Nothobranchius furzeri: one gene and its partners. The protein of the gene in region 4 interacts with the protein of the main gene of each other region in a biochemical or structural test. Links are inferred from orthologs where the notes say so. Each region holds a gene or a part of one and is shown on either strand. Other genes may lie near its edges.

Region 1 (3,979 bases), on a different chromosome or scaffold from region 4:
TAAATACGCAAATAGAGGACAGCGCAAAGAAGAGTTCAGAAGCTGTAAACAGAAGAAATAATTTGCAAAAGGAGGCGTTTGTGTCCGGCCCGGAAGAGTTCCCTCAACTTCTCTTCGTCTTCTTGGTTAAAGTCTAGTTCGACTTCCAGAGGGGGAGACGCTCCAAAAGATGGGAAAAGTGGACGCGGAAGTTTAAAAGAAACTTGTGATTTTTGTTGAGATTGGTTGCAACATGGGAAAATATGTTTTCCATGTGCTTTTTGGGAGACATTTTGGTACAATTGTCCGAGGATATTAGCGGAGAACCAGCGCGAGCCAACTGTTGACTCGAGCCGATGTGCATACCACCAGCAGACGTCGGTTAGCTTCATGGCTATCTTCAACGTTAGCTGGAGGTCGCCGGCTAACCAGATATTTCGCAGTTTTTCTGCTCGTGTAAGTTTGCTTTTTCGTCTTTTTACACTCTTATAAGAATTCAAGTTAAACGAGTGTTAAAAATCTGTCCTTTTAACAGCAGGGCTAGTTATTGACATTTCTGACTTCGGAAAATAAAATCTAGCCCCCTGATTAATCCCTTCCTTGGGATATAAATCTTTTTAATAAAAAATCTCACCGATTTACTTCAGATCAGTATAGAAATAATATAACCAGAGTGTGGTAATGTTTTTAAAGTTGTCTGTGTGATAAAAATGATGATAATTGACTAATAGAACGAGAAGGAAACACCCATGATTTAGGTGATCCTTGACTTTGTCAGTGACTCTTATGCTGTGGATGGAATTGTGCTGGCATTGTTTTTATTGGGTTGACTCTTGTTTGAATAGTCACAGTAAATCAATACACGTGTACCAAGTGATCCCTTTCCTGTTCAGACATGTCTAAAAACAATATTGGAAGTGGAACCCATCAAATCGAATACTTATAGAACAGCTTTGTTGGTTTTTATAATTTTACACTCATTTGTACACAGAATCATTTAATTGTCAAAATATGAATACATTTTTGAAGGATGGTGTTTCACTACAGCAGATAAAACTACAGTTCAATATATGAGGGATGCTTGACTAGCCCGTGGAGAATGATTTTGAATGTCAATTGCTTGAATAATTTGTGGGTTTTAATCGTTTTGAATTAATCATTGAGTCATCCATTATTTTTCCCCTAGACTCCTGTCAAACATCTTGTCATCTGAAGGGCCCAGAATCTATAAATGCATGATACACAGGGACATCCTGGAGAGATCCGTCCAACAGACTTGAATCACCCATTTTTTAGTGGGGACTGTCCAAGTCGGGGAACAGGCCTCCTGATTTCTCCTGAACTTTTTCCTGCCCGGAGCCCATTTGCTGGAGGGTGAGCAAGTGATACTGGCTTGGAGAGTCCCGGCTGCAGCCTGGCACCCTGGCCTTATGGGGCAGCAGCCGGGGAAGTTTGCAGGGGACCAAAGGAGACCCAGTTTGCCAGCCTTTATTAAGGGGGGAAAGAGAGAGTCATCACGCCATGTGAGCCAGCCCTGGAATGTTTTCGATAGGCATGGTAAGATCGAAACACTTTTCTAAATTTCCTGTAAGGGTTTATTTGCAGTCATAGTTGACAGACACTTTTTCCCTCCCTGTATCTTGTTGGCATTGGCCTAAACTTCTCTGTCATCTAAATATTAAGAAGGAAAAGTTGACAATCCAGTTTTATTTACAGCAATCAACATTTTATATTTATTCTCTAATCTAGTGGCAATGCAACAAAGTTGTGTGTATTCTGTTTGGACAGGACAGGAATTCCCTTTTATGTTAGAACAGCCAAGAGCAAGATGAAGAACATTTTAATGGTGTGGAACATTAAAAAAAACATTTTTAAAATCTTATTCAGGGCTTTTCCTGGCTCAAATTGAGGCAGAGGTGGTACCATCCTGACCATGCGCCAGCACATGCATACTCTGTGCATTCAACTGCCTCACTTTTTTAAAGGCAAATATATTTTCGTTAAGTGATCTAATCTAAGCTTCTGTTGATTAATAGAATATTCCATTTGACAACATCTCAAGTGAAACAAAACTGGTTTGCTGCTCAAAATATGAAATAAAACAACATTTTTAGGCTGAAGTAACAGACTCTTATTATAAAAGGCTCAATAATATGCATTAGATTGGTGTTTAGTTCCCATTTTCCCATCTGATATTTATAGTTGAAATATTTTTTAATACTTGACCTACATTTCAGTAACATTTTAGGTTTGTTTTAATAACACTCATCTTAGTCAAAATAACACATAAATATATCCAGTAAAAAATAATGCATTTCATTAACATGCATTTGTGTTGGAAATGATAATAACTTGTATTTTCTGCTGCTAACAATGTAATGGTAACATGTCTATTATGTACGGGTTGGCAATAATCCAATTTAAATTATGTTCAAAGATAGAAGCGTTTGTTAATTATATTCTACAATGGCTTGCACTACATCCTGCTCCTGTGTAACTCGTATCTGCAGCGGTTCTGGTCCATAGCGCTGCAGGATGCAGAATAAACAGGATGGTGGGGACCTTTCATCCACTTGTTGAGTTTAGTCTTTCTTTGTTTTACGATCATCATATATCCACTTGATCGTGCGACTGCTACCCATTAGCTTTAGCATTAGCCAATCTGCATGTAGCTGCACTTTTGATCCCAAACTTTGGACCGGTTCTGCCTTTGTGCCTTTGCTGGTTCCTTTATTTTCCTCCACTGCATCCAGATTATCACACTGTGCACCTGTGAAAAGCATTTTTCTTACTTTTGTTCAATAACGTTCTGCAGTAAATAGTAATTCAAAGATGTTGCACCAGCGCTACATTGAAAAATAGACAGACACACACAATGTTTTACGTTGCACTGTACACCCCTGCTCTGATAGGGAAGAAGTGCCTGGGGGAAAATCAGGACGTCAGTAGCACCAAACATAGATATGTACCAACTAGCGAGAAAAGCTATTTTTGATCATTTTCTGCAGTGGTTTTAGCGCGTTTCAGTGCACCGCTGCTGATACAGCGCCCCTGTAGTGGCGCAATGCTGCAACTGCAGTTACAATAACATCCATATAGCTGGGGGCAGAGTGAAATCAGGCTGGGGCGGCACAAAATTAGCTGGAGTCGGCCGCCACGCAAATTTGAACGCAGGTAAAGCCCTGTTATTTTTGATGATAATTGGTCAGTCTGAGTTTTTCTTGCAGGCTGAACATGGAAATGGTATTTACACCTATCTTCTGCATTAGCTTCTGATGGAAAATAGGATTTGAAAAGCCTGACAGATCTACGTCAAACTGACACAACATTCATGGACCCACCCACCATGACTCGTGACAGGGAAGGTTGTTGGTTTTAACGTCCAGGAAAGGGCAAAAAATGGCTTGGCTAGTAGAAGCTAACTGTTAGCATTAGTAACTCCACCACACAGCAGAACTCCTTCAAATTTGTGTTATTTGTGGAGATAAAACATCAGTTTTGCAAGTTAGTGGTAGCCACGTTGCTGTTATCTAATCCGGTCATGATATCCAAAAATCAGGAAATAAGACTCCAAAACGTGCCGTCTGAAACTCAGCAGTGATGTGGCTCACTTCTAGTTCCTGGAAATGGTGCACTGGAGCTTTCCCCCTAGAGTATGACTTATGGACTCGACACACAGAGGCAACAAACGACTGCGTTAAGTGAAACTTTTCGCTATTGCTTTGATAACCTGACACACGGGAGGTGACGTGGCAGTGGCAAAAGCAAGCAACCTGTTCTGTTCCTGGGCAAATAGCAAGTCTTCCGTTGTTTTGATTGGCTGTCAGATTGGAGGGAATGTTGGGTTATTACAGCAGTTCAGAGTTGAAAAAGTGGTAGATATGAAGCCTCACAAGGTTTTGCTAGAGTTAAAGTGAAGTCTTACATCTGACTTTACTATATAAAAAATTAGTGAATGTGTTTATCCCATATTACAAACCATTAAAAGAAACAATGAATA
Region 2 (4,128 bases), on a different chromosome or scaffold from region 4:
TTCAAAGTGTTCACTCGAGTCCACACACTTTGGCAACCGCTGCACTTCAGGTAATTAAACTCTGAGATCAAGCAGCACACACAGAGAAATGAACAATCCCTCCTGTTGATGAGGAAGATGGCTGCTGCAAGCCTTCACTCCCACATGGCAGATTCCAGGGATGAATGTCTGCTTCGTCACTCGCAGACACAACATAGATGTGGGAGTCTGCAGCTCTGCTACTGGTCTCAGAAATCTGAACGTAAAATTTGTATTTTATTGATCTAATCAACACTCTGACAGTTGGTTGAGTGATTGTCTTTCACAGGGAAAGAACAGGAAACTCCTCCCGATGCACCAACAGGAAGCATAGTTATGGAAACAAAGCACAGATTTTTGTTTCATAAGAGGATAAAAATAAGATTTCTGTACGCAAATGTCAAAATGTCATATAAACCTTAAGATTGCCTAAACCATCAGAAAGCTGCTGCCATCTAGTGGACATTTTGTTTTTTGTCTATGGTCAGCTTTTTCAGCAGAAAAATTAAATAAATATAAAAGACAAAAGCTTGAACTTACCGTCGTTCTTGTTTTGTGCCTGCAGTGGAGGTCTGACTTCGGGGCCTGGAGCTGCAGGGACGGGGCCAGACTGCTGGCCTTTATTCTGACCTACAAACAGAACATCAAGTTACCACAAGCCTATGGCAACACGATGACTCAATAATGAGTCACCTCTGTTTCTCTCACTGCCATTGAGTTTTACCATCAAAGTAAGGAGTAGGGTCTCCAATTTTACCACTGACTTCTTCAGCAGGTTTGATCAATTCGGTTTCCAAAATGATGACCACTCGGCTGCAATCAGATTTTACATCAATTCTTGTTCATTTTTGCTTTTTAAATAGCAAATTTTTATATTTGCTACGAAATCTGCATACCGTCCATCCTTCAGAATATTGGTCACATGCTTCTTCAGAATGCACACACAGTTTGGGGCGAGGATGTTTTCCTCAGCCAAGTAGTTCAACTGAGTGGAAAGCATAAAGGCTGCAAATGATGAGGGAAAATGTTTGGTTAGCTTTACGTTAACAAAAAAAAAAAAACTCACAATGTGCACCTAAACCCTAGCCTAGAGAACTAGAAAAACTGTAGGAGTATCTGAAGATTTATGCTCTGCGGGTTGGTCTAGCAAGAGTTGAGGAGTTTAGAACCACAGCGGTGACAAAGCAAAACAAAGATGGCATCGGCTCAGGAACGGCACTCTTTTTAAAAGGTGTTGGTATCAAATTTGGGCGACTTAGACTTGTGCAGCAGGTGGAGGTACCTCTTCGATAATGTATGGCAGACTGCCCTGTCGAGCGATTTCCGTTGCTGTCAATACGTCACGTTGTTTGTTGCTCTGATTGGTGCTAGCACTGTAGTATTGCAAGCAGAGACCGTTTAAAAAACAAAATGTAGATTCTGCCCCAAGACCGAGCTCAGTCTATGGGTTGTAGCCAGACTATATATCAACATAGCTTGCCAGGCTACCTAAAACCTTTAATGATTGCAAAATAAAACCACAAAACAAATATGCATTCCAGATGTCATTTAAATGTTAATCATGTTGTCGTTTAAAACGCAAATAGATGTGCTGCTCATCACACGATTCGTACACCAACAGTGCTTCAGGGTAAAATTTTCCCTGACAAAGTAAACAAAGGAGATAGTGCCAATTTTTTCCACTAACGAACAAATGTCAAGGTCACAGCTGCCCTGACCTTCTAATTATTTATTTACCAAGAACTATCATGCAGGAAAAATGAGATTTGAGTCTATGAAACTAGACAAATTAAAATTGCAAACGGAGTAGCTTCTCTCTAAAGATGCAGTCTCACTAACACTTTCCATTCAAAAATGATTAAATGCCAAACCCAGGGTCAGAGACTGGTTTGATCCAAATGTATATCATACTTACATGACAGTGTGTGGCGTCCATCACTCATCATCACCCGAAAGCGAGGTATCCCACTTCCTCCCTCTATTTTGCGAATGTTCTAAAAGTTAAAGAAAAAAATAATAAACTCTTGCAATTTAATCAAGAAATCTGCAAAAGCATTTAACTAATGCCTGAGTTACTGATTTGTTGGAATTTGCTGAAGCAGCGTTCTGAAAAAGAGTGTGGCGTTTAATGCCTCTTCTAAAATATATAACGCACAAAAAGCAGCTTCACAAGTTTACACAGCTTTCAATACGTCATGACGGTTAAACAAAGAGGCCGCATGTGATGCGGGCCTTAACCGTGTCAGAACTAAAAACGAAGCCCAAAAGTAAACATGCGTTTAAGAGCATGATACGTTTAAATGGTATTTCACGTTTTCGTTATTTACCACCAGCTGAAGAACTGCGTCATTCCAACCGGAGCCATTAGCTAAAGCCTGCAAACAAAAACAATTAACTTAATGTAACACAGCTGTTTTGTTTTAACAGTAGAAGCATTCATTTTTTACAAAAGATTTCTAAACACATGTACGCTACTTCAAATTATGTTTCAATTTACACCAGCTTCAGTCAATATTAGTTTTTAAGTTTCCATTAACCTCAATGTAAAAAATGTCGCGCGAATGCAAACACATAGTAGGAAAATGCCTACAAAAACACGTTAGCATTTTAGTTGAACTGACATTAACTTTACCTCAATCGCGCCTTCTGAAAGTTTAGGCATGTCTGACGATTTTGCGTTGAAACTGAAGATTACTTTAGCAACTGCTAGACAGACGGTTTTCTACAACTATCACTGCAAACAGCTTGAAGTTTATGCCTGTGGCGCCAACGGCTCAGGCATCGCGCGCTCAATTTGTCGAGTTCCGTGTTGTCGGGTTCCGTTTCCGGTAACAGATCTGACTTCAGTTTCCAAAATCTGTCAGAACAGCAAGGCTTAGAGGTAAATTCTCACTAAACTGACCGCAGACCAGCACTGAATTTCTCAGCGCAAAACTGAGTGACGTTTGTTGCGATGCGTTCAATGACATTTGAAAACAGGAAACACCCGATTTTGTGTTTTCAGCGATTTTTAAAAAACACGGAATGTTAGTATTATGCACAGTTTTACTCGTCGCATAATAACTATATTTGGAGGGGGAAAATTATATTCTAAGAAATTAACTAATTTTACCGTAAGTCATATTACAATAATATTGTAACTCCTAAAATGTGTCACATGGCAAGATTTGAAAAGTATTTTTAAATAACCATTTGATTTAAATGTCTCAGCAAATTAATTCATATCAATACTGATTTAGATAAATTGAATTGATTTAAGTACACAAGAAAACAAATTAAAATATTTTAAGAAAATGCTCAGTCATGCAGTAATGCTCAAACATATGATATTTTAGACTTTACATGTTGACACATTCCACATGTGGTGGAAAATTAAACCATCAAGTAACATGACAGGGACTTTTTTGTGAATTTAATGTTATCGTTTAATTTCTTGACCATCACATCTTATACAATACAGTCATGTAAAATGAATATTCCTCTTAAAATGACTATTGGGCTTTAAAGCATAATTATTTCCTTATGAAACAAACAAAACGTTTTTATTTTCACACATATTTTGATCCAGACTAGTCTGTACAACTGCTAACTCCTAGCTTTCTCTCAAGAAATGGACAGATTTGTATTTCCTATTTAGGACCCCCAAATGAGCTCATGTGATCTTTGTCATATGAGAAACCCATTTTATCTTTGCTTCCAAACTGTCCTTTCTGCAGGATAGGGGCTCCAGGATTAGGATTGTTGATGACACCCATGAAGATTGGTATTTGAGTTACGTCATCCATAAGCACAAAAAAGAAGGGCTTAGTGAGGTGGAAAACTGGAATTGCTGCCCGTGAGATAACTATGTTGGTGGCTGCAGCAGCTTCTGCACCATCCTCATTTATTTCCATGCTTGACTTGTGCATCACACTGGACACCAGCAGGGGGCCGTCTGCAATATCAGCCAAGTTAGGATTCAGGAACATCTCCCCGAGGCCTGAAAAATATAAAAAATAAAAATTACATTTTGAGGCTCAGTTAAGAAAATAACAGTGGTTTTCCCAAATTTTTACTTAAAATTGACATTTATTAAAATGTATCTGCAACATTAATAAAACATCTAAAACT
Region 3 (4,223 bases), on a different chromosome or scaffold from region 4:
CTAATTAACATTTGAAAAGCGGGGCGGTGAACGACCCAGCAATAAGAGTCCATATCCAGCGGAAGGCTCCGTGAGCCACTACGACGTCTCCATCTTGTATCCGTGCTTTTCCAGCTCCGCTCTGCAGGGAGGAGAAGGAAAATAAAAGATCAAGTCAGCAGAGATGATTACAGGTGGGCGGCCGGGGCACAAGTACCCTCGGCTATTGATTGTAAGAACCATTAAGTGATGGAAGTGAAAAAAATAATAATACATAAATATTAGATAACGCATGCAGCCATGGATTTAATGATTATACACACATATGGCCGCTGTGCCCTTACGCAATAATGATATCTTTAAGAAACAACTTAATAGTACGGCGACTGTAACTGACCTAAATACAACAGCATTCTGCTGTCCTGAGTGTACTCAAACATAAACAGAGCTGCCACGCATCTATCAGCTGGTATCGATTCTGTGTGTCGGCCTAAAACGCATCATCAGTCCCATCCCTGAGGAGAAACGCGCTTTAATCAATCCAAACACTAAGCCCATAGTAATGTCACTAGGGATGGGTACCTTTGACATTTGAATCGATTCGGTGCTAATTACCACTACCTAGGAATCGATACCGGTACTTAACGGTACCAATTTTAGATACTTTTGAGTGTTTAATATTTTGATTCTCTTTTATAATTAAATATATATTTTTCTCAATTCATAACCATATTTGATAAATATCACGATAAATAACATATAACAGTTTGTATTTTAACATCGTCCTTGTAGTTTTATAAGCTGATAATTAAACTGAAGCAAACATCTTTACTGTGAACTAAATTTACTGTGTATCTTCATTCCTTTTACCGTCCTTTTTCATTTGATTTTTCCTACTGGGAAGTTAGAATTTCCGAGGAGAAAGCGAACGCACCATTAGATGATAACAATGGTGGCATAGGAAGCTAACATATCAAGCTAACGTTATCTTAAACAGTTTAACTACTGGAGCAGATTTAAACGATGATGCCTCACACTTAGATCGTTGTCACTGGTTCATCTTCACCCAATCACCCGTCGCATTTAGTAAAGCGAAGCCAAACTTTAGAGCGCGTTCATGTTCTTCTAGTCGGGATTTCGGAGTTCCGAGGAGAAAGCGAACGCACCATTAGTGAAACGGAAGCTAACAAATCAAGCTAACGTTATCTTACATTTTATTTACCTACCGGAGCAGATTAAGATGAGGATGTCTCACTTAGATCGTTGTCGCTGTTTTCATCATCACCCAGTTACCCATCACATTTAGTGAAGTGGACCCAAGCTTTAGCGTTCGTTCTTTCTACCATGCTGCTCTGTTTACAACTCGCTCGCAGGGACCGATGACATAACGCTCTTGCGCATGCGCAGCTGTCTAGGCAAGTACTCGTTGTGAAGGACGGGTATCGAAACGAGGCACCCTTTCAAATGAAGTGAATCGGTGCTCGGCCGGTACTATGGAATTCGGTCGGTACCTTAAAAAGTACCGAATTCGGTACCCATCCCTAATTTTTCCATGTTGTTTAAAAGCATTTTGCTTACACAACATGAACTATGAAGAAACTTCTGAGCTAAAACGTTTCAACAGAACAAAGTACTTCAGGCCCTGCAGATTTTTATCCACATCAACAGAAAACTTGAGAACTGCACAACAATATTGTCCCGATTTAGTTTTCTAAACATCTGGTGCTGATACTGAAGTTTAGAGAGTTTATGCTGGATAATTCGTTGGAGCGAGGGGGAAATGTGGCAGAGTGCTCGTAAGTTTGGTGTGGAATATATTTTTATTTTAACTAGCAGGTGGACAGCAATGGCTCAACAGAATAAAACGGCACATATTATGTTGCCATTTAATGTTTTCTCATAAAACACTCTGTACACAACAAAACTATCTAAACACTTAGTTTTCTACAACAATCTGAACAAGAACATTTCAGGTATCATTTATAAAATAAAAAAAACAGGAAATCAAGAGCTCACGTGGAAGCAAGAACCAAACAGTCATAAACACCACTGTTCACCAGCCACGTGAGATGATGATAAAACAGCCAGTTTAACGGTTTCGGGTTGACTTGCTCACCTAGATAAAAGTACACTCTAAAGTATTTACACAGAGTCTGTTCAATCCTGCATGAATCTGAGGGTTACCGTAGCTGATTAGAGAAATCATCCTCCACATTGTCATCGTCCCAGTTGTCCTCCCAAACATGAGCGTCTTCATCTTCATCCAACCCCGTCCAATCTGGAATAACAACGCATGCATGTCAGTAAATATAGCTGTAACCTATAGATTCACTCTTAAAAACCCTCCACATGAGCTGATGTTTCACCTGTTCTCGTTTTCCTCCGTAACACTGTTAGCTAATGCGTGCTAATGAACACAGGTGGTGAAACATCAAAACGGTACAACTACACAGATATAATACAAGCACGTTTCCGCATTACAAGACAAAAAGATCTACTAAGCTGAATAATCCGTTTTGCTGAGCTAGCTACCAGTTCCTTGCTGTTTTCCCAGCTAACCGAAGCTAAGGCTAACGCTAGCTGAGTCATCGTAGCTAGGCTCAGAAGCGACAATCCGCTAAAACAAAACTACATCGCTAAATAACAAGTGGCTGGTTTACCTTCAGCTGGGAATTCTTCAAACTCGTCATCCTCCTCTAGTAATCCCAAATCTACGGTCTGTTTCTTGTCTGCCATGTTATCTGTCTCACTCCGCCGCTGCTTGCTAATGAATGCTTCCGTTCCACACGCGCAAACGGAATTCTGGGAATCTGTGTCTGTTCACGCGAGTTGTTACTGCGCAAGGGAGCGCAGGAGGAGGCGCAGCTCCTAAGAAGAAGGAGAAAATGTCATTTCTATAGCGCCTCTCAAGATTAAAATCACGAGGCGCTTCACAAAAATAAAAAAGAATTTAGAAAATGGTTAAACATATATTTAAAATGAGCAAAAATAGACAATTGTGATTAAAAAATGTTAAGAAAGAGAGAGAATGAATAGGAAAGAGGGAAATCAGTGGATCCTGAGGAAGGTGGAATAGGTGGGGAGAGCAGAATAAAGAGAGAGTGGTGAAGAAGGTCATACAAAAGCCAGCTTGAACAAGTGAGTCTTCAGCTGTTTTTAAAGGAGACCACTGAGTCCACTGATCTCAGCCTCAGGGGGAGAGAGTTCCAGAGTCTGGGGGCCACAGCAGCAAATGATCTGTCACCTTTGGTCTTTAGCCTGGTGCACTGCACAACCATTAGGCTTTGATCACTGGACCTCAGGGACCTGCTGGGGGTGTAGGGACAGAGAAGATCACCAATGTAAGATGGTGCTTGTCCATGTAAGGCCCTATAGACCAGAACCAGGATCTTCAAATGAACCCTGAAGTTGACTGGCAGCCAGTGAAGCTGAAGGAGAAGCGGGATGATGTGGGTATATTTGGAGGAGTTGGTCAGAAGCCGAGCACAGGCGTTCTGAACCACCTGCAGATGGTTCAGGGAGGTTCTGCTCAGACACGTGAAAAGAGAGCAGACCAAGAGCAAAAATCACTTACAGACGGCTTTGTGTGCAAATGTTTTTAATGGATCACGCTGAATTTGAGCTATTTCTAACTTTTACCTTATTTAGAATAGAATAGAATAGAATAGAATAGAATAGAATAGAATAGAATAGAATAGAATAGAATATCAATTTATTGTCCCTCAGTAGGGAGCTTATAGTGTCACTGAATCAATAACATTCATTATATTGAGCAAATAGGAAAGAAAAAAAATTAAGAGTAAATATCAAGAAAACCAATTGCAGAAATACTTAGAAAGTTAAAAATAACTAAATACTGGATGTAAACACATGATAAGAGATACTGCCTTCTTGCAGTCTCTTTGATCGCAATAGACTTCACCTGGTCAATAAAAGATTAAATATACATTTTTAATAAATGCATTGACGATTATCTAACAAACATTCAAAACAACAATTAACTTTAACAAAATGAAGGCATCGTTGTTCTTTATTCCAAAGGATAACAGTCGTATTACATAGATCTAATTTAAGATTTATATAAATAATTACATAGAAGACATTAAAATGTGGTGTCATTTGTTTTATTTTCAGTGTCAGTGACCACGGTTACCTGAATTAGACGATGATGGTTCAGGTCAGGTTGTAATTAAAATGAATACCGGTAAACTAAACTCCAGTAGGCAGGGGCGGCGTTAGGCCCG
Region 4 (4,208 bases):
CGGATAAATACGTTGTTAAGGACATGCCAGACCTGTAGTTTTCGAAGTTTTCCCACCAACTGGCAGTCCTTCCCGGTCTGACCCAGAACCTGCGTCGGTGTCTTTGCCGAAAAACCTGCCTTGGACGTGAAGAAGCCAGGTGCCGGGCAATAGCCGTTCGTAACCTCGTCCTTCGTCTGTGGTCTTCCGCAAGCAGCAGTAATTCCTCTTGCAAAAACAAACAAGCAAAAAGCGCTTGGACAATTGATAAAGCGAGCGCAGCTCTGAGGGCATCCATGCTGTCGGCTAGTGTAAACACAGGTCGCACACGTGATGTCAGCATTTTTTTGTCGCGGAAAGTGACGTTGCGGACCTTAAAACTCCGGTTTTGTCTGTCCACACGCAGACACCCAAAACGGAGAAAACGCAGATCTTCACTTTGGCCGGAGTTTTTAAAAAGATGCGTTTTCGTGTGGATGACAGGCCAAAACGTAGAAAAATATCTACGTTTTGGCAGATCCCCGGCTACGTGTGGACAGGGCCTCAGACATCTGGTCAGAATGCTCCTGGACCCCTCCCTGCATTTCTGGGCACTTCCAACTGGGAGGAGACCCAAGTCCCAGGTCACGCTGGAGGGACTATGTCTCCCAGCTGGCCAGGGAATGCCTTGGGTTTCCCCGGAGGAGTTGGCCCATGTAGCTGCAGAGAGAGAAGTCTGGGCCTCTCAGCTTGGGCTGCTGCCCCCATGATCCAACTCCAGATAAGCAGCTGAAAATAGATAGATGAACGGACACCTAAATTTTCCCTCTGGGGACAATAAAGGAATTTTCTTTTGTATTTGTTTCTCAACTGAGGATTATTTTACAGAATAAATCCTGCTTTTCATTTAGGAGAAACAGCTGGCTGCTGTCATCCTTTTGTTTCTGCTGGTGGCATTGTTTATATCCTGGTAATGTTCTGTGAATGCTGGACGCTGGAGCACTAAGATCTGTATACCCCCCACTCACCACTGCCCTTTGTCCACCTGCAGACCTCAGTACAATCATGTGATGGATTAACAGATTCATAGTCTTGTGCAGTGCCAAATGGTTTATCTTTTTATGATAACTAATAAAAGCAACAGCAACATACTCTTACTTTTACCTTGGTGTAGATTTAACATTATGTTCTAAAAACTGTCTGCTATTCTATGCATCGATGACTGCATTTTAGATAGCTAAATTGCTTTTATAGAAATCACATTATTATAAATAATAATAATAATAATAATAATAATAATAATAATAGATAATAATAATAGATAATAGATAATATTATAGTATAATAATATTATAATAATTCATAGATTATAAAAAAAGAAGAAAAAAGCTCTATATGCTTTTATTTTGACGGGAAAAGAGATATCCTGTTTCACGCAAGCGAACTGTACGTTAAACGTCATCGCGTTGTTGTGCGCGCGGGACCTTTGAGAGAAGCGAGATAAAAACAAGAAGAAGAAAGAAGCAGGTAAAACGTTAGCTAGTACGGCATTATCGAGCAGGTACGTTAGTAAAAGGCTGTCTAGTATCATGTGTACGAGCTTACGAGACCGCAGCGTGAGTTTTAATCAGACTTATCTCTGGTCTGAGCAGGTTTGTCAGCAGTTTACAGACATTAACGCCACTTCAGATGCAGCGACAGTGCTAATGCTAAGCTAGCTGGCTGCCTGCGTAAAACTGCCAGGAAACCTCTTTTCAGGAGGTGGACATCTGTAACTGAAGATGATGGCAGTTTTATATTTTAGCTTTGATTTCAATCACAATCTTTGAACGTTGGCTCTGTGTTCTTGTGTTTTACAGCGTTGTTAAAACACTCTGAGCTCCACCACACAGAGTTGTGCTCTGTTTCACCGTCTGCGTCCCTCCTGTCTGCCTGATCCAGCTGCCATGGCGATGAGGAGCGAAACAGCAGTGGAGGCAGAGGTGGAGGAGGAGGAGAACTTCGGCCCACAGCCTCTGAGCAGACTGGAGGTTCGTTTCCTGACTTGTTCCCTCTGAGTTATTCTGGTCTTCTTTCACTCGAACTTTGACTTGTTTTATGGATGTTTTACAGGTTTTTCCTATGATTCACGTGAAGTAAACGTAAATGTGAATGCACCAAAGCACATTAAAGGTGAAGCTGTCAGCTTCACTCTAGGACAAGAAGTCTCCTTTGTGTCCAATCTGAATTGTAAATGCAGTCCTACAGGACACGTATCAGACAGTAGTAACCTCTCAGATACCAGCTGCCAGGTGCTACCTACACGAACATGACCCCAGAACCGCTCTCACACACCAGCGAAGAGTTTTGTCTTCTCTTTAAAAGCAGAAGAGGTTCTGTTGACGGTGGTCATTTCTCAGCTGGAACTAAAATCTGCAGCTCACATTAACTTCTTATTCAGGACCCTTCAGTATCGTATTGTGTGTGCTTTTATCTCAGACAAAACGGAGCTGTTTGATGACGGCAGTGATCCACTTTGGTCTTTGTCCTGTTTGGACTAGCTGTTAGCTCATCAATCTGGTCAGGACTAATCTGTTTCTCTAAACCGAGTCGGCTCAAAGAGCCAGGCAGTGATTGGTCAGAACCTTTTACAGAGTCTCCCTACAAAGATCTTAGCTGTATGTTGTCTTGTTTTATCCTCTAAGCTCAAAATGATCATTATTATTATTTTTGGTTTATTCAAAAGCTGAGCGCTGTTTCACCTGAGAGCTTGTCACTATAAGAACCCTGTTATGGTTTTAGTCTATGATCCAGTTCAGCAGCTCCAGTAGTTTCTGAGAGGGGATCACTGATTACCTGCTACTGTGGATGTGGAACAGCGTTTGTGCTCCTTTAGGTCGGTTCGGTCAGTGATGTCTGTACAGGGCTCTGGTTTTCCTGACTCAGTGGAATGATACTAGACTGGTCCTTGTCTTTTCATGCAGCAATGTGGCGTAAGTGCCAGTGACATCAAGAAGCTGGAGGACGCAGGTTTCCACACCATCGAAGCTGTGGCTTATGCACCGAAGAAGGAGCTGCTGAACATCAAGGGCATCAGCGAGGCCAAAGCAGACAAAATCTTAGTAAGGAGCATATTTTTATTCTCTGAGACATTAATATGCTTCTAGGAGAGAAGAGATCCATGGCAGCAACACCACCTATTTAACACTAAACACTAGGGTGAAATTAAATTGGTGAAATTATGGTGATGCAATATGTATCACGATACATTCAGGACATTAGCGATTTTTATTTATTTATTTATTTTTGACTGAATTTATTGTAGGAAAATTCAATAAACAGTCCAAACTGATACATAACATGTTTAACATGAGGTATCTGAACCATAATAGAGATTTACATTTCAATGGTGGATAGGAAACCCATTGCACACTGCTGCCATCTAGCGGTCAGCGTTTGCATCGCACCAAAATAAAAGCAAATACACAAGTTTGCATGTAAATTCTTTCAAAAATTAGACTCACAGCTTTTGAATATGGATGTAATATCACTAGAAAAAATATCAAGCTATATTGCCATATCGATATTTCCTTACATCCCTAGGCTACGTTATAAAACTATATCAGAAGCGTGTTGTTAATTCAATTGAAAAATACTTTATTAATCCCAGAGGGAAAGAGTCTGGACTTTAAAATCTAACAGATGTTACATTGAAAAACCTCTCTGCCCTTCTCACTCACTGACTCTCTGAAGAAAATGTTCTCAACGAGATGAAGAACACAAGCTTGCGATTGGTCAGGACGCCGCTTTCGTCAACAGCATTGTCATTGTGCTCTCAGAACCATAAAGCAAGCTGAAGACGTGTAGCAGCAGACCGAACACGCGTGTGCGTCTCCAACCTGTGGAGATGACGCAGAAGCATAAACGAGTCTCTTGAGAACAACAGGCTTTGTTTTACGATGCACATCCTTGAACCCAGATGCATCACACCAAGCCACACATGACAAACCGTCCCGCAGCGCTGATGAGGGCTCTAGTTTTGTTGCGCCGTTTGTGTCAGCGGACATTGTAGGGTCGGGGAGGGGGGCGGGGCATGACTATATATAAAGTGCTGGGGGAATCCCTGCACCTGATATGTGCAGGTAAACATGGGGGCTCCTGCGCGTGACGTAGAGATGACTGTCTGGAGTTTAGAACCAGAGGCTTCATCTGAAGTGGTCCACCTTAACCCCCTCTGTGATGTCACCAACACGAGGTTATTGAGTAAATGA
Region 5 (3,993 bases), on a different chromosome or scaffold from region 4:
ACTAGCCACACGCTTGATTTTATAAAAATGGAATGATTCTATCCCTCCATCACAACACCACTGGATCACAGACGGTTATGCAAAATGTTAAACTGGAAAAAATCAGATGTACACTCGATGGCACCATCAATTAATGCCACGAAACCTGGGACCCTTTAAGAACCTATGTTGATAATCTACCGGGCTAACCTGGACCTTTGATCGCTTCCACCTGCCCCATATCAGTCTTGTAACTACTAAAGTTTAGTGCACTTTTTTTGGTGTTCAATGTTAAACATGAAACTTTTACCTCCGGAGGATTTACGTCTAACAGCGACCTCTGCCTCTTCAGAGTTTTCCTGTTTCTGTTGCAGCTTCTTTGCCTCCATCTCTCTCCTGAACTTCTGCTGAAGCTGCTGCTGTCGGAGCTTCCTCAGCTGTTTGGGGTCCGTGTGTGCTTCAGAGACGACATCGACAGAGTTCACGGCATATCTTAGAGGAGAGGAGAAAAGCAGCTATGGTGGATGACCACTTGTAAAAGAGAGAAGCAGATTGAGAGCCGTTTGTAATGTTTACTTGATGTTCTCATTCACCCCGCTGGGAGCAAAGCCAGCAGCTCCAGGGGTGTGAACTTCTGAATGGTTCTGGTAGAATAATCTGGGCTCTAGTGGCATTCGGGCAGGTCCGGCTTTTAAAAGTGAATCTTCCTGGACCAGACTGAAGAGCCGAGCCTTCTCTACTGATGGCTGACCGTCGCACCGTTTAGTCTGGGTCGGGTCAGGAGGAGGAGGAGGCTTTGTGTAGAAGAAGTCAAGTTTTAGAAAATTTTATGGATTTGAATAATCCAATTTAACAAAAAACCTAAATTGCCGACTGACCTGTTTTGGGATCTTGTTTATGGCGAGGAGGTAATCTTTATTTAGGATGCAGTTTCCAAGGGCATTACCAAAACATCTCAACATGAGAAATAATATTTTTGAAGAGTTACACAAATTTCTCGCATGAATCAAAGTTACTAAATATAAATCTGTAAAGGTCTTTACCTCAGTGCTCTCTTCATTCCATCTGTGACAGCTTCCTTTCTCGCCTTTTCTAGGGACAGAGCTTTGGACCTCAGCCCCTCACTCACTCCGTATCCCACATCCTCATGAAACGACCCATCCTAGGAAAGAAAAAACACCAGTTACACTTTACTTCGATTACCTGTAGAGGCTCACAGGAAACTGGAGCTGATGATTAATATTGATGAGACTGTGAGTCAACCTTCAGCTGCACTTTGACAAACGCACTGACTCCTACATTAAACTTCCCATTGATCAGGTCCACAAAGTCTGGAAAAGAAAAAAAGAAGTCATTTTTATAACACGTTAAAACGTAAAATATTTGAAGGATCCATGTGCAAATGATTATTTCTGACTGTTTTTCAGCAAGTAATAGTTTTTAGGCACTTGTTGCAAATGCAGATGAGTCGTACCAACATTCTGCTGGGAAATGGAATGCGACCATCCATTGTATCCAAACATCTCATTGGCCAGGCTGACAACACGGTGGCCTTCAATGTAACACACCTGTTTAAAACAACACTATTAGATCATTACAATACCTTTTTAATGATCAGTAAATTCAAATCCCATCAGGAGACTTGGGTTTTGTGCTGAGACATGTTTTCTGCTCAAGCTCTGAATCTCAAGCTTCATGAATGAAACCAGGCGTCTCACGTTTTTGTCACAAAGTAAAAGAAACACTTGCTTTTTGTCCCCCTCCAGCCACTCTGGAACTGATGTACTCTGGTCCAAGTTTCTGTTGCAGGGCATTTTGCACCGCCTGGTACTCCTCAGCTGTGTAGGTGCACTGAAAAAGTCAAACAAATTCATCTGACAAAACCTGAGCATCTGTGGGATTAAAACACTCATTATTTATTAATCTAATATTATAATTTAAGTGTAATTCGATTGAAAATTCATCTAAAATAGTTTCGAGTTCTGCAATTGTTTGATTTATTTACCTGTCCGAAGTGCCTGGATGACGTTGGGATGCATCCCTCGTTGCTGCTCGTCATAGCTGTGCAGACATACTGAAACACACATAGAGCAAAACGAAACAGTAACACTCATTAGTGTCTTCTAGGCTTTTGAAACAACATTTAACAAAACAAATGCTTTACTTAAACATAGAAGTGACTCGTTGGGTTTAAGCTTTAGTCTTCGTAACTAGCTCAACCTAGCTAAAAGCTGCTAATAAAAAAACGAGTAAACGTAAACTCACTGCTTTAAATCCAATAAATGTGGTGTTTACGTCAAATTAGCACGAAGGTGTTAGCTAGTTTAAATTTACAAGCAACTTCCCGCTTGGCTCACCGGAAGAGGCGGAGCCTCGTGCTGCCTTCCTGACAATCGGAAAATTAACCCTTCAACATTTCTGCAGAGACACCATTACCTTTTTAATAACAGAATGAGAGGTATTTTTTCCTAACGATTCCGGAGAAAATGTATCAACATAAATAGTAACAAAATAAAGTTGAAGTTAGAAACGAAACGTAGTGATAGTAGTATTCAAAGTCCCACAGTCATCACACAGTGGTGGCGATCTCCGCATTTGACCCATCCAGTGGGAAGCGGCATTATTTGGTGGTTTAACCCATATATATATATAATGAATAACATAAATGGAAACCGTGTTACCTTGCTCGGACGTGGGTCACCGGGGCCCTCCTCTGGAGCCAGGCCTGGAAGTGGGACACGTTGGCGAGTGCCTGGTGGCCGGGTTTTCACCCATGGAGCTGGCCGGGCACAGCCCAGAGAGGAAACGTGGGTCCCCCTTACCTGGGCTCACTACTCGTGGGAGAGGCCAAAGGGGTCAGGTGCAGTGTGTGACGGGTGGTTGTCGAGGGCGGGGACCTTGGCGGTCTGATCCTTGGTTACAGAAGCTGGCTCTTGGCACATGGAATGTCACCTCTCTGGTAGAGAAGGAGCCTGAGGTGGTTTTTGAGGTGGAGAGGTTCCAACTAGATATAGTCGGACTCACCTCAATGCATGGCTCTGGCTCCGTAACCAGTTTCCTTGAGAGGGGTTGGACTTTCTACCACTCTGGAGTTGCTCACACACACACACACACACACACACACACACACACATGTGTGTGTATATATATATATATATATATATATATATATATATATATATATATATATATATATATGCTGTTATATGCTGTTATTGGTTTAAACCCCCCCAATCCAACCCCTTAATGCTGGGTGTCAAGCAGGGAGGCACTGGGTCCCATTTTTTACCCTCCCACTGTCTTTATGGGTGACCCTGCGAGGAAAGTTGACCATTGAGCAGGATTGATGGTTTATCCCTTGGGCCCATGTGGCAAGGGTGAGGGCAGCGGGAGGGTTAAAGACCCAGGCAGACACTCTACTAGGCCGAGAAGGTAGTAGTAGTAGTAGTAATAGTAGTAGTAGTAGTATCGCTCTGAATTAAGTTAATTTTGTTTCTAGATTAGACAATAATTTGGATTTCTGTTGGACATTTTAAAATGTGATTTTAGTTATTTTAGTATTTTTTTTACATCTTTTTTATTATGGTGAACCATAATGTTTGTGTATGTTTACGGTTCCTGGGTCTCTGTTGTCGTTACATCACATTTTAAAATATGAAATACTTTCGCATCCCTTCAAAGTTTCATTTTTAATTCCAGTAATACAATTTTTTTAAAACATTTTTATTTACATTCTGGATAATTCTATCACGGGTTTCCAGCTTCAGAAACACGGCCACTAGCTGTATTCAACGGATCTATGAATTCTGCTCTATAAGAAAAATCCTGAAAGAAAATATCCGCCATTGAGCTTAAACAAGCTGTTTTGGTAAACTAAAACAAATCTGCACAGGCCAAAGATCCCCCATAGCGATGATCTGCAGTTATTCCATGCTTAATTCAGTCACTTAACGTTTCACAAATAAAATTATGAATTTTAAAATTCATTATTTTATTTGATTGTTTTTAAATTAC
Region 6 (4,173 bases), on a different chromosome or scaffold from region 4:
GGGGCTCCACCTCTTCCTCTTGGTTACAGCATTCATCAAATTCCCCATCAGCTCCAAACATTTCAGCTGTCATCCCCTCCAGATAGTCCTCTGCCTTCCCATCACGCTCAGGTATCATCCTAGCACCTGACGCGCTGGCCTCTTCAAAGGGACAGTTCTCTGCAGCTAGCAGACAGTCGTCATCGACCTCATCTTCTGCCTTTGGCTCATACTCCAACGGGGTAGACAACAGGCTCTCATCATCATCATCTTGTTCTTCTTCCACCAACTTAGAGCCTTCTTTAGGAACTGTAGACGTGGAAGGCAGAGAGGACTTTTGAGGACTGGAACTGATTACTTTGGACACACAGTAGTAGTCGTTGATGGCTCTCTGCTTCCCAGAGGGGCTTTGGGAGGCAGGAGCAGCTGTTTCAAAGAGAAAAGGAGAAAAACAACACTGAGTTAGCTGAACAGAAGGCCCAACTCCTTGATTTTAACAAAACTAGGCTCAAACAAAAACTACGGAGATAATCAGTTTATTACAAGTGACACCAGAGGGCGGAGAAACTTGGATCACTGTTACACTACTGTTAAAGTTGCATACGCTGCACCCGGCGCTGCACTGGGCCAATCACACCCTGTGATTTGAGAACTTGTTTAGAGGCAAAGAACAGGTTTAGCAGGGCAGCGAGGAGCGTTCAACAACCGTGTGCTGCTAAGCTCTTAACAGCTCACAGCTAATGACCCTGCTTCTGTCTGCACCACTGTCTCAGAGACCATTGTCTCCAATCGATCACCAGCTACAAGAACAAAGCACCTCTCTGCTAGCTTGGTAAAGAATTCTATATAAGCGCTGGTCAAATTAGAATATCATGACAAAGTTGCTTTATTTCAGTAATTTCATTCAAAAATTGAAACTCGTATATTAGATTAATTCTTTACACACAGACTGATACAGTTCAAGTGTTTATTTATTTTAATGTTGATGATTATAACTGACAACTAATGAAAATCTCAAAATCTCAGAATATTAGATTATTAATTAAGACCAATGCAAAAAAAGGCTGTAAGCCGGCTCCTTTGGCCTGGATTACTGCAGCAATGCAGCGTGGTATGGAGTCGATCAGTCTGTGGCACTGCTCAGGTGTTATGAGAGCCCATGTTGCTCTGATGGTGGCTTTCAGCTCTTCTGAATTGTTGGGCCTGGCATGTTGCATCTTCCTCTTCACAATACTCCACAGATTTTCTATGTGGTTAAAGTCAGGTGAGTTTGCTGGCCAATCAACAACATGGTCCATCAACCAAGTACTGGTAGCTTTGGCACTGTGTGCAGGTGCCAAGTCCTGTTGGGAAAGTAAATATGCATCTCCATAAAGTTGGTCAGCAGCAGGAAGCATGAAGTGTTCAAAAACTTCCTGGTAGATAACTGCGTTGATCTTGGACCTCAGAAAACACAATGGACCAACACCAGCAGACGACATGGCACCTGACACCATCACTGACTGTAGAAACTTTACACTGATGTGCACAAGACAGTAGTGAGACCATCTATTGTGTCCGATTTAGAGACAGAGTCCGTGAAGAAAAGACAGGAGGCGGATTCTCTTCGGGAGGGACGAGGATGGGTGGGATCATGACTGAGTCAGTCAGAGGGACAGCTTACAATTAATGTTTTAAAGAAAAAACCAGAGAGGACAGACTGAGATGGTTTGGACATGTCCAGAGGAGAGACAATAATGATATACGTAGAAGGATGCTGAGGTTGGAGCCACCAGGCTGAGAGGAGATTTAGGGATGTTGTGAAAGAGGACATGAGGTTAGTTAAGAGTGAGGGTAGAGGACGCAGAAGATGGGACAAAATGGAGACAGATGATTGGCTGTGGAGAGGAAGGGACACGCTCAAAAAGAAAAAAGGTGTGTTTAGATGTCTGTAGCAGGTTTACAGTGGCTTACCAGAACACCGTCGTTTTCTGGGGGTCCTGGGGTGAAGCCTTTGGTTGTGGTCATGGTGTCTCAGCCCGTGGTTGGATGTGTGGGGTTGGGTAAGAGAGTCTGCATTTTGTGCCAGCTGTTTACAGTCCCCGGCACTTAGGTGCTTCCGCTTGGCCTTTCCTGGTGACACAAACAATCGTTACAACACAAAAACCTACAACAGGTGTTGTGGCAAAAACTGATCACACGCTGCTGGAGGCAGACCCGACCCTCCAGAGGGAAGATGGACGTTTTTACCACTGTTGGCAAAGGGGAAATTCCACAGTGTTAAGTAGTTATGAGCAAATTATACAAAACAAAATCGATTATAATGTGGGGAACATTTTTTTCATTCACAAAATTATATTTATATTCATCGCAACTGCATCACGTTGTATTTTAGCTATAAAGATACAGCTGTCCAGTTCTTATAAAAATATATATTCAAGTTATGTTAAACCCAGAAAACTTTAAACCAACTCAAGCGGGTTAAACACGACAACCTTCTGCTAAAGTCAGACAACTCTGTGTCTTTAGTGGTACAATTGTAGGATTTGATTTAAACTGCGAATAACGTATAACATGCTTTTGGCAGACAAGCACCTGGATCCGACCAATTTATCAGCCTGCTGCTTAACATAAACAAACGAATCAAGTAGGCTACAATGACATTTTTGTTCATGCTCACCTTTGGAAGCAACCTCCATCATTGTATCCAAAACATCCACCACGCGAGCTCCAGGATCGAGTCACGCAAATTTAAACCTCTGCTGAACCGAGTAAGTTTTCGAAAATAACTTTTAAAAGAAAAACACTGAACCCAAAACAACCCCTGCTAGCTTATTTATACTCATTTGTCCTGAAACGTACGTTTAGTGCAAAACAACAAAACACGAAAAGTTAAACAAGCCACCTCTGCTGAGCTAATTGTTTCTCTTCTTTAAGAAAACGTTACAGTTCACGTTTTCTTCTTCTTCAAACGCCCCTCTGCTTTGAGTTCGAAACCTAAAACATGTTGGGATGTTCCTGCCAGCTGATTGGTCGGTTGGTTCTTCTTTGGGTTTTCGAGGTTGGCTATTAGATGACGCCGCCACCTGCTGGTCATTTCTTAGAATGGTTGACATGTTATGTATAAAATGTTTATGGAGGAGTCATCTCATAGAGATTGCTTTGATACGGAAACCCATTTCTGCTACTTTTTATGCTGGTGTTTTTGTCATTTCTGTCTTTTTGGGATCCCACGATTACGTTTTTCTTTTTCTATTCACATTTTCTGAATGTAAATAATATTTTTTTTAATAATGTAATAATCCTTAACTTTGGTGTTTTTGTGAAGCGCCTCGTAATTTTTATCTTGAGATAAAATAGTACATGGTTTTTGATCAGGGGCGCTCCCAGAAAAATTTGGTAAGGGTGGCCAATAAAAATTTTGCGTGGCACACCAAATTGGCCCTTGTGTTAACTCTGGAACAGTTTAGCTCGTGTTTATTTATTTATTTATATTTTCAACAATATGTATAAAATGTTAAATGAATGATCAATGACCCGCACTTGTATAGCACCTCTCAGAGTAAGGACTCCAAAGCGCTTTACACTACAGTGTAGCATTCATCCATTCACACACACATTCACACACTGTTGATGATGAGCTACGACATAGCCACAGCTGCCCTGGGGCGCACTGACAGAGCTATCCAAAACACTTGACTCTAAATTGAGACACAAACATATAAAAAAAATTATTTATGGTTTTTCAAAATAGATTTTAGAATTCTGTTTTTAGTTTAATTCCTGTAGCTGTCTTCACAAAAACTATGGAACTATAAACTTTTTAAAATGGTGAGCAGTAGAAACAGATCATTTTTTTCAAAATTCAGATTATTTCGTTATAAATTGTATAAATTTTTTTTCGGGGGGGGGGGGGGGGTTACATTGATGTCTTGAATAAATGAGATACATTTATGGTTTGAGTGAACATTACTAGGATTTATTAACACTGGTCTTCCCAGAGGGGCCAGCAATTTTCTAGGGTGGCCATGCCCACCCATTGGGAGCACCACTGATTACAATTATTTTCAAAGTCATATTTATGATCCGTTTTCTTTAATGTTTTGAGCTTCTATTGATTCAAGCTGCTTTGGCGGGTAGCTCGCCCAAGGCAGCCTCTCCAGGAACCCTTTGCAGGTGTTGACATTAGCTGATTAGTATGACACTTTGAATCAA
Region 7 (4,117 bases), on a different chromosome or scaffold from region 4:
ATGTGAGAGTGCATGCAGTGCCCAAAACAAGCGCTATACAAGTTTGATGTATTTTTTAAATGAATTTTCCTCATTCTAGTTTGCAGCTTCCAACGACTGAATGAGCAGCAAAAATCGCCGAAGCACACAACCTTCATTCCATTATCTACCTGCAATCAATAGTTTCTGATCAGCGCGCCTGCTTCTGAGTACTTCAAGGTTGTTTAACTCTGTTTTGATTGCTTGTACATACTGAGTGAGTCCTTTGTCTTTATGTCTAACCGTTTCATCTGTTTATCCTGTTAAGCTAACGGTGTGTCTGTTGCTGCTGCCTCTTGGCCAGATCGTCGTCGTAAATGAGAACGAGTTCCCAATCGACTCATCTGGTTAAATAAAATAAATACATTTCTTAACGCTGTTCTTTTTGGACCAAGCCTGTCACCCACCTGCTCTTCTCACTCTCTGTTGATTTTGAGTCGCTCTCCTGACTGACGGACTTGGTTGAAGATTTCTTCTGCTCCTGTCTCATGTCCTCCTTGTGCTTTTTGCTCGGTGGTGCTTTCACAGAAGCAAAATCTTCATCTGAAACAGAATGAAGATGGAGAACAAACTCTTTATTCACATATGCCCGTCCCTCTCACTACCATAAAATTACTGACGACCCTGATGTTTTGACACGAAGGAACAAAACATAATTCAATTCAATTCAAAGATACTTTATTAATCCCAGAGGGAAATTAGAGTTTCAGTACACACAATTCAGACATCAGACATACATACATAGGTAAAGACACATGACAAGAATTGGTGACTGTGGTCATTCGCAACCCGAGTCACGCTGCCTTAATAGAGATCAGAGGGTTTACAAATGAGGATTGGGTCAGGTGGAGGGAAAAAAGGCACTTCAGAGCTACCCTCCACAGGGAGGGCAGCGTAGCTATGCAAAAAACACCTCAGACAGAAATGCAACAGACTTCAGACATCACACAACATATGTGTCCACTAGGTGGGGAGGTAGGGTTGGGGACTCTCCACACATCAGTGCATGCAGCCGCGATAAGCAGCGCTCGTCACCTCCGTTTGGACAGGGGAGGGAGGTATTTGGGTTTAGAAAGCCCAGTGACTACTGGAAACGATTCAACAGCCTTCACCGGTCGCAGTCTGCCCAGGCTGGGATAGGGAGGCAGAGTTGCCATGGCAAAGGCAGCATTCCACATTTCTTCTGAGGGGGGAGTATTCACTTCAGCCTCACAGGCTCAAGGGCACCAGATTCAGATAAGAGCTTGTTTTGGGGCCAGACAGAAATAATTTCCTCTCTGCCTTAAAGTTCCGTTGGTCCTCAACCTCTCAAAATCCAATAATGGCGTAATTAATCTATCCCAGATCCGTCAACTCTCTCCTTGATCGAATCACCTTCTGTGCCAGAGTCTGAATCTCAGCCAAAGTTCCAAGCTTACGACTCATCTCGACAGTTATACGAGTTTGTGCGTTCACAGCATGGTGTAATCAATCTCTGAGCTCCGGGATTGAGCAGCTTTGTCTAAATTCTATTCATATCAGTGGTCACTGATATGCTGACTTTTTTCTACTCTATTAATGCGAGTCCACAAATTCCAGAACTGAATCTAGAAAACTAACGATAAACTCTTTTCCTGTGGCTTTCCAGGATGGTGGAATGACCTACTGAGAGCTACCGGAACAGGGGCGTCCCTAGAAGATCTGGGCCTTCAGAGAGTATCTTCCACCCTAGCACGCACCTAGCATACATCCCAGAACTAAAGTTTTAACTATGTAGCTCACTGAAAATGTATCCTGTTGTTTTGGGGGCAGCTGCTGACCCTCAGCAGTGGAATACCTGATCATTTTAATGGATCCTCCTGACGAGCGGTGTCCCCCAAAAGGCGAAATCAGTTTTTTAATTATTCTGTTTCACTTAGACCTGTTAAAATTACTTAAAGACACTTCTCAGAGTCTTTATTTTTAATTATCTATTTTTAAGACACATTTAGGTTTTTTTGTATTTTATTTTGAACCAGTAAATATTCAAAAACAGTGTATTGTTTAATTTCTGCGGTTCTGCTAATATGAACAAAACAAGTTCTGGTCTCTGATATGAAGATTTTGATCAAGAAAATAAACGACAACCCTTTCAAAGCCCGCCACTAATTAGAATAGGAATAGAATGAACACCTTTTTTTGGTAAATAAACAGAAGGTAATCCTATTGATAGCCACTATTTTTTAAAACAATGTTAGAGACATAATCACACTAATTTGTTTTTGTTTACACTTGATCGTTCTTAATAGACATAAATAAAATCTGGTGAGTTAAAAACAACAACAACCAGAAAGGGAAGTTGACAAAAACTAAACTGTAACAGTAAATAAACAAAGGTTTGGAGATAAATGTGAGGGAAATGTAAAGTGAAGATTTTCTTACCATCGTCAAAGTCATTGCTTTCAGAATAATTCACAGCCTTTGTCTTTCTGTAAGTAAACATATCGGTTAAAACATTTATATATTTATATATACATATATACAGAACTGGTATTAAGACGTGTCTCCTCACCGTGACGGTCGCTCCATCACGTCAACGTCAGAGATCGGTACCGTGGAGCAACGTAAACAAAGAAGCTAACCTGCTTTGGTTTAATAACTAACTAGTATAATGTGCCTATTTAAAGTATTTAAACGATTAGATTCGGGGCGTTTTAGCTACAAAAGTAAAAAAAACAAAACGCGTCCCATCTCGGATTTCATTTATCCCGCCTGAACTGACAAGAAGTGACGTTGGGTGTTGTTGACCAATCTGACGAACACCGGAAGCTGATTCGACTGAATTTATTTATCGGTATTATTTTTACAAAAGTCCAATTTTAATTTTTTGGATACATATAATCATTGTATTGTTTATAATTATAAATACTTATGATTCCACCACTTTTTATTCAGTTTTTTATTGAAGTAATGTGCGCAAAATAAATTGTCGAATCGGCTAAATTTCTATGTAACGAGTCAAACTTTTTTTATGTAAAACAAAATGGAAATGTTATTTTTTGGGGATATTGTATCTACATTTCCCAAAAGTTGCTGTTCGTTTTTGCCTCGATTAAAACGGGAGTTTTTTATTCGTTTTGGTTATTTTACTATTATTATTTTTATGTCCTCGACTTTGTCCCATGATAAAGCTGAGCTTTAAGTTTTAATGAGCATTCAAGCTCATCTGGTTCATTGTGTACTTCAACTGGAACACCCCCTGTGCCCCCCCTGCACCGATTCCCAAATGACCCCTGACGTTTATTTTATTTTGTTCCGTTTTACTATAGAGCAAGTGAATAAAATTATTAGAACTCTGGATCCCAGAAAACCCTCTGGTCCAGATAGAACCCTATTTTTGAAAATGGCTGCTGATTTCATAGCAGAGACTCTTACAGTTATTTTTACCCTTTCTAACAAAAACAAACCATCAGTTTGGAAGTCTGCTTTTGTGACTCCTTCACTGAAAGGTGGTGACCCAGCCCTAATAATAAAGTACAGACCAACATCTAATCTGTGTGTCCTGGCAAAATTCTAGAGACCCTAGTAAGTAAGCAATTGAAATACTTTATATTCAAATGACCTTCTCTCATGTCTGCAATCAGGTTTCAGAAAAAAACACAGCACCATCTCGGCAGCTACAAAGGTGATCAATGACATACTTGTTGCTCAGGATAAAATGCAGCCTCACTGTTTATTGATCTGTCAAAGGCCTTGGACACTGTAGACCATGATCTTTTAAAAAGCTTCTTTGTTTGGGATTGTTTGAACATGCAATCTCATGGTTCGCAGACTACTTGAAGTACAGAACTCAATGCGTTAAATGTGATGAATTTTTGAGTGTCCACAAGGGCGCACCACAGGGTTCAGTTTTGGGACCCCTCTTGTTCATTAATTAAATTAATGACATAGGACAAAATGCATTGGATGCTAATATGCACTTTTACGCTGTTATATTTTTATTGTTTTAGAAAATGTTGAATTTTTACAGAAAGCTTATAATGAGGTCCAACAAACACTTATGCAGTTACAATTGCTCCTCAGTGCTGACAAGACTAAGCTAATGTTGTTTTCAAACTCTACTAAAAGATCTATAAGTATG

Evidence for each region.
Region 1: the proteins of rad51 (region 4) and abl1 form a complex in vitro, tested with the Homo sapiens proteins (2 studies listed by BioGRID). The link is inferred for Nothobranchius furzeri from reciprocal best matches to the Homo sapiens genes RAD51 and ABL1.
Region 2: the proteins of rad51 (region 4) and rpa1 form a complex in vitro, tested with the Homo sapiens proteins (2 studies listed by BioGRID). The link is inferred for Nothobranchius furzeri from reciprocal best matches to the Homo sapiens genes RAD51 and RPA1.
Region 3: the proteins of rad51 (region 4) and sem1 form a complex in vitro, tested with the Homo sapiens proteins (2 studies listed by BioGRID). The link is inferred for Nothobranchius furzeri from reciprocal best matches to the Homo sapiens genes RAD51 and SEM1.
Region 5: the proteins of rad51 (region 4) and rad52 form a complex in vitro, tested with the Homo sapiens proteins (6 studies listed by BioGRID). The link is inferred for Nothobranchius furzeri from reciprocal best matches to the Homo sapiens genes RAD51 and RAD52.
Region 6: the proteins of rad51 (region 4) and fbxo18 form a complex in vitro, tested with the Homo sapiens proteins (2 studies listed by BioGRID, with this or other methods). The link is inferred for Nothobranchius furzeri from reciprocal best matches to the Homo sapiens genes RAD51 and FBH1.
Region 7: the proteins of rad51 (region 4) and rad51ap1 form a complex in vitro, tested with the Homo sapiens proteins (6 studies listed by BioGRID and IntAct). The link is inferred for Nothobranchius furzeri from reciprocal best matches to the Homo sapiens genes RAD51 and RAD51AP1.

The regions. Positions count from the first base shown.
Region 1 is NC_091746.1:53,653,275-53,657,253, forward strand, and holds the start of abl1 (tyrosine-protein kinase ABL1), read left to right. Parts: upstream 1-1,179; 5' UTR 1,180-1,409; coding exon 1,410-1,536; intron 1,537-3,979. UniProt on the Homo sapiens protein: Non-receptor tyrosine-protein kinase that plays a role in many key processes linked to cell growth and survival such as cytoskeleton remodeling in response to extracellular stimuli, cell motility and adhesion, receptor endocytosis, autophagy, DNA damage response and apoptosis.
Region 2 is NC_091753.1:47,659,301-47,663,428, reverse strand, and holds the start of rpa1 (replication protein A 70 kDa DNA-binding subunit), read right to left. Parts: upstream 2,801-4,128; 5' UTR 2,681-2,800; coding exon 2,651-2,680; intron 2,394-2,650; coding exon 2,346-2,393; intron 2,013-2,345; coding exon 1,934-2,012; intron 1,024-1,933; coding exon 915-1,023; intron 832-914; coding exon 743-831; intron 649-742; coding exon 559-648; intron 1-558. Other genes in the region: serpinf2b (serpin peptidase inhibitor, clade F (alpha-2 antiplasmin, pigment epithelium derived factor), member 2b), read right to left, coding at 3,648-3,997. UniProt on the Homo sapiens protein: As part of the heterotrimeric replication protein A complex (RPA/RP-A), binds and stabilizes single-stranded DNA intermediates that form during DNA replication or upon DNA stress.
Region 3 is NC_091751.1:26,675,765-26,679,987, reverse strand, and holds the start of sem1 (26S proteasome complex subunit SEM1), read right to left. Parts: upstream 2,801-4,223; 5' UTR 2,716-2,800; coding exon 2,640-2,715; intron 2,258-2,639; coding exon 2,164-2,257; intron 122-2,163; coding exon 79-121; 3' UTR 1-78. UniProt on the Homo sapiens protein: Component of the 26S proteasome, a multiprotein complex involved in the ATP-dependent degradation of ubiquitinated proteins.
Region 4 is NC_091743.1:91,861,135-91,865,342, forward strand, and holds the start of rad51 (DNA repair protein RAD51 homolog 1), read left to right. Parts: upstream 1-1,408; 5' UTR 1,409-1,485; exon of another isoform or gene 1,486-1,519; intron 1,520-1,817; 5' UTR 1,818-1,904; coding exon 1,905-1,988; intron 1,989-2,921; coding exon 2,922-3,059; intron 3,060-4,208.
Region 5 is NC_091744.1:73,170,775-73,174,767, forward strand, and holds the start of rad52 (DNA repair protein RAD52 homolog), read right to left. Parts: upstream 2,801-3,993; 5' UTR 2,661-2,800; intron 2,367-2,660; exon of another isoform or gene 2,144-2,366; intron 2,054-2,143; 5' UTR 2,039-2,053; coding exon 1,985-2,038; intron 1,831-1,984; coding exon 1,729-1,830; intron 1,548-1,728; coding exon 1,454-1,547; intron 1,311-1,453; coding exon 1,243-1,310; intron 1,142-1,242; coding exon 1,023-1,141; intron 934-1,022; coding exon 858-933; intron 774-857; coding exon 556-773; intron 472-555; coding exon 290-471; intron 1-289. UniProt on the Homo sapiens protein: Involved in double-stranded break repair. Plays a central role in genetic recombination and DNA repair by promoting the annealing of complementary single-stranded DNA and by stimulation of the RAD51 recombinase.
Region 6 is NC_091741.1:60,824,100-60,828,272, forward strand, and holds the start of fbxo18 (F-box DNA helicase 1), read right to left. Parts: upstream 2,801-4,173; 5' UTR 2,661-2,800; coding exon 2,639-2,660; intron 2,092-2,638; coding exon 1,933-2,091; intron 406-1,932; coding exon 1-405. UniProt on the Homo sapiens protein: 3'-5' DNA helicase and substrate-recognition component of the SCF(FBH1) E3 ubiquitin ligase complex that plays a key role in response to stalled/damaged replication forks.
Region 7 is NC_091741.1:43,136,872-43,140,988, reverse strand, and holds the start of rad51ap1 (RAD51-associated protein 1), read right to left. Parts: upstream 2,801-4,117; 5' UTR 2,566-2,800; coding exon 2,549-2,565; intron 2,466-2,548; coding exon 2,419-2,465; intron 562-2,418; coding exon 426-561; intron 1-425. UniProt on the Homo sapiens protein: Structure-specific DNA-binding protein involved in DNA repair by promoting RAD51-mediated homologous recombination.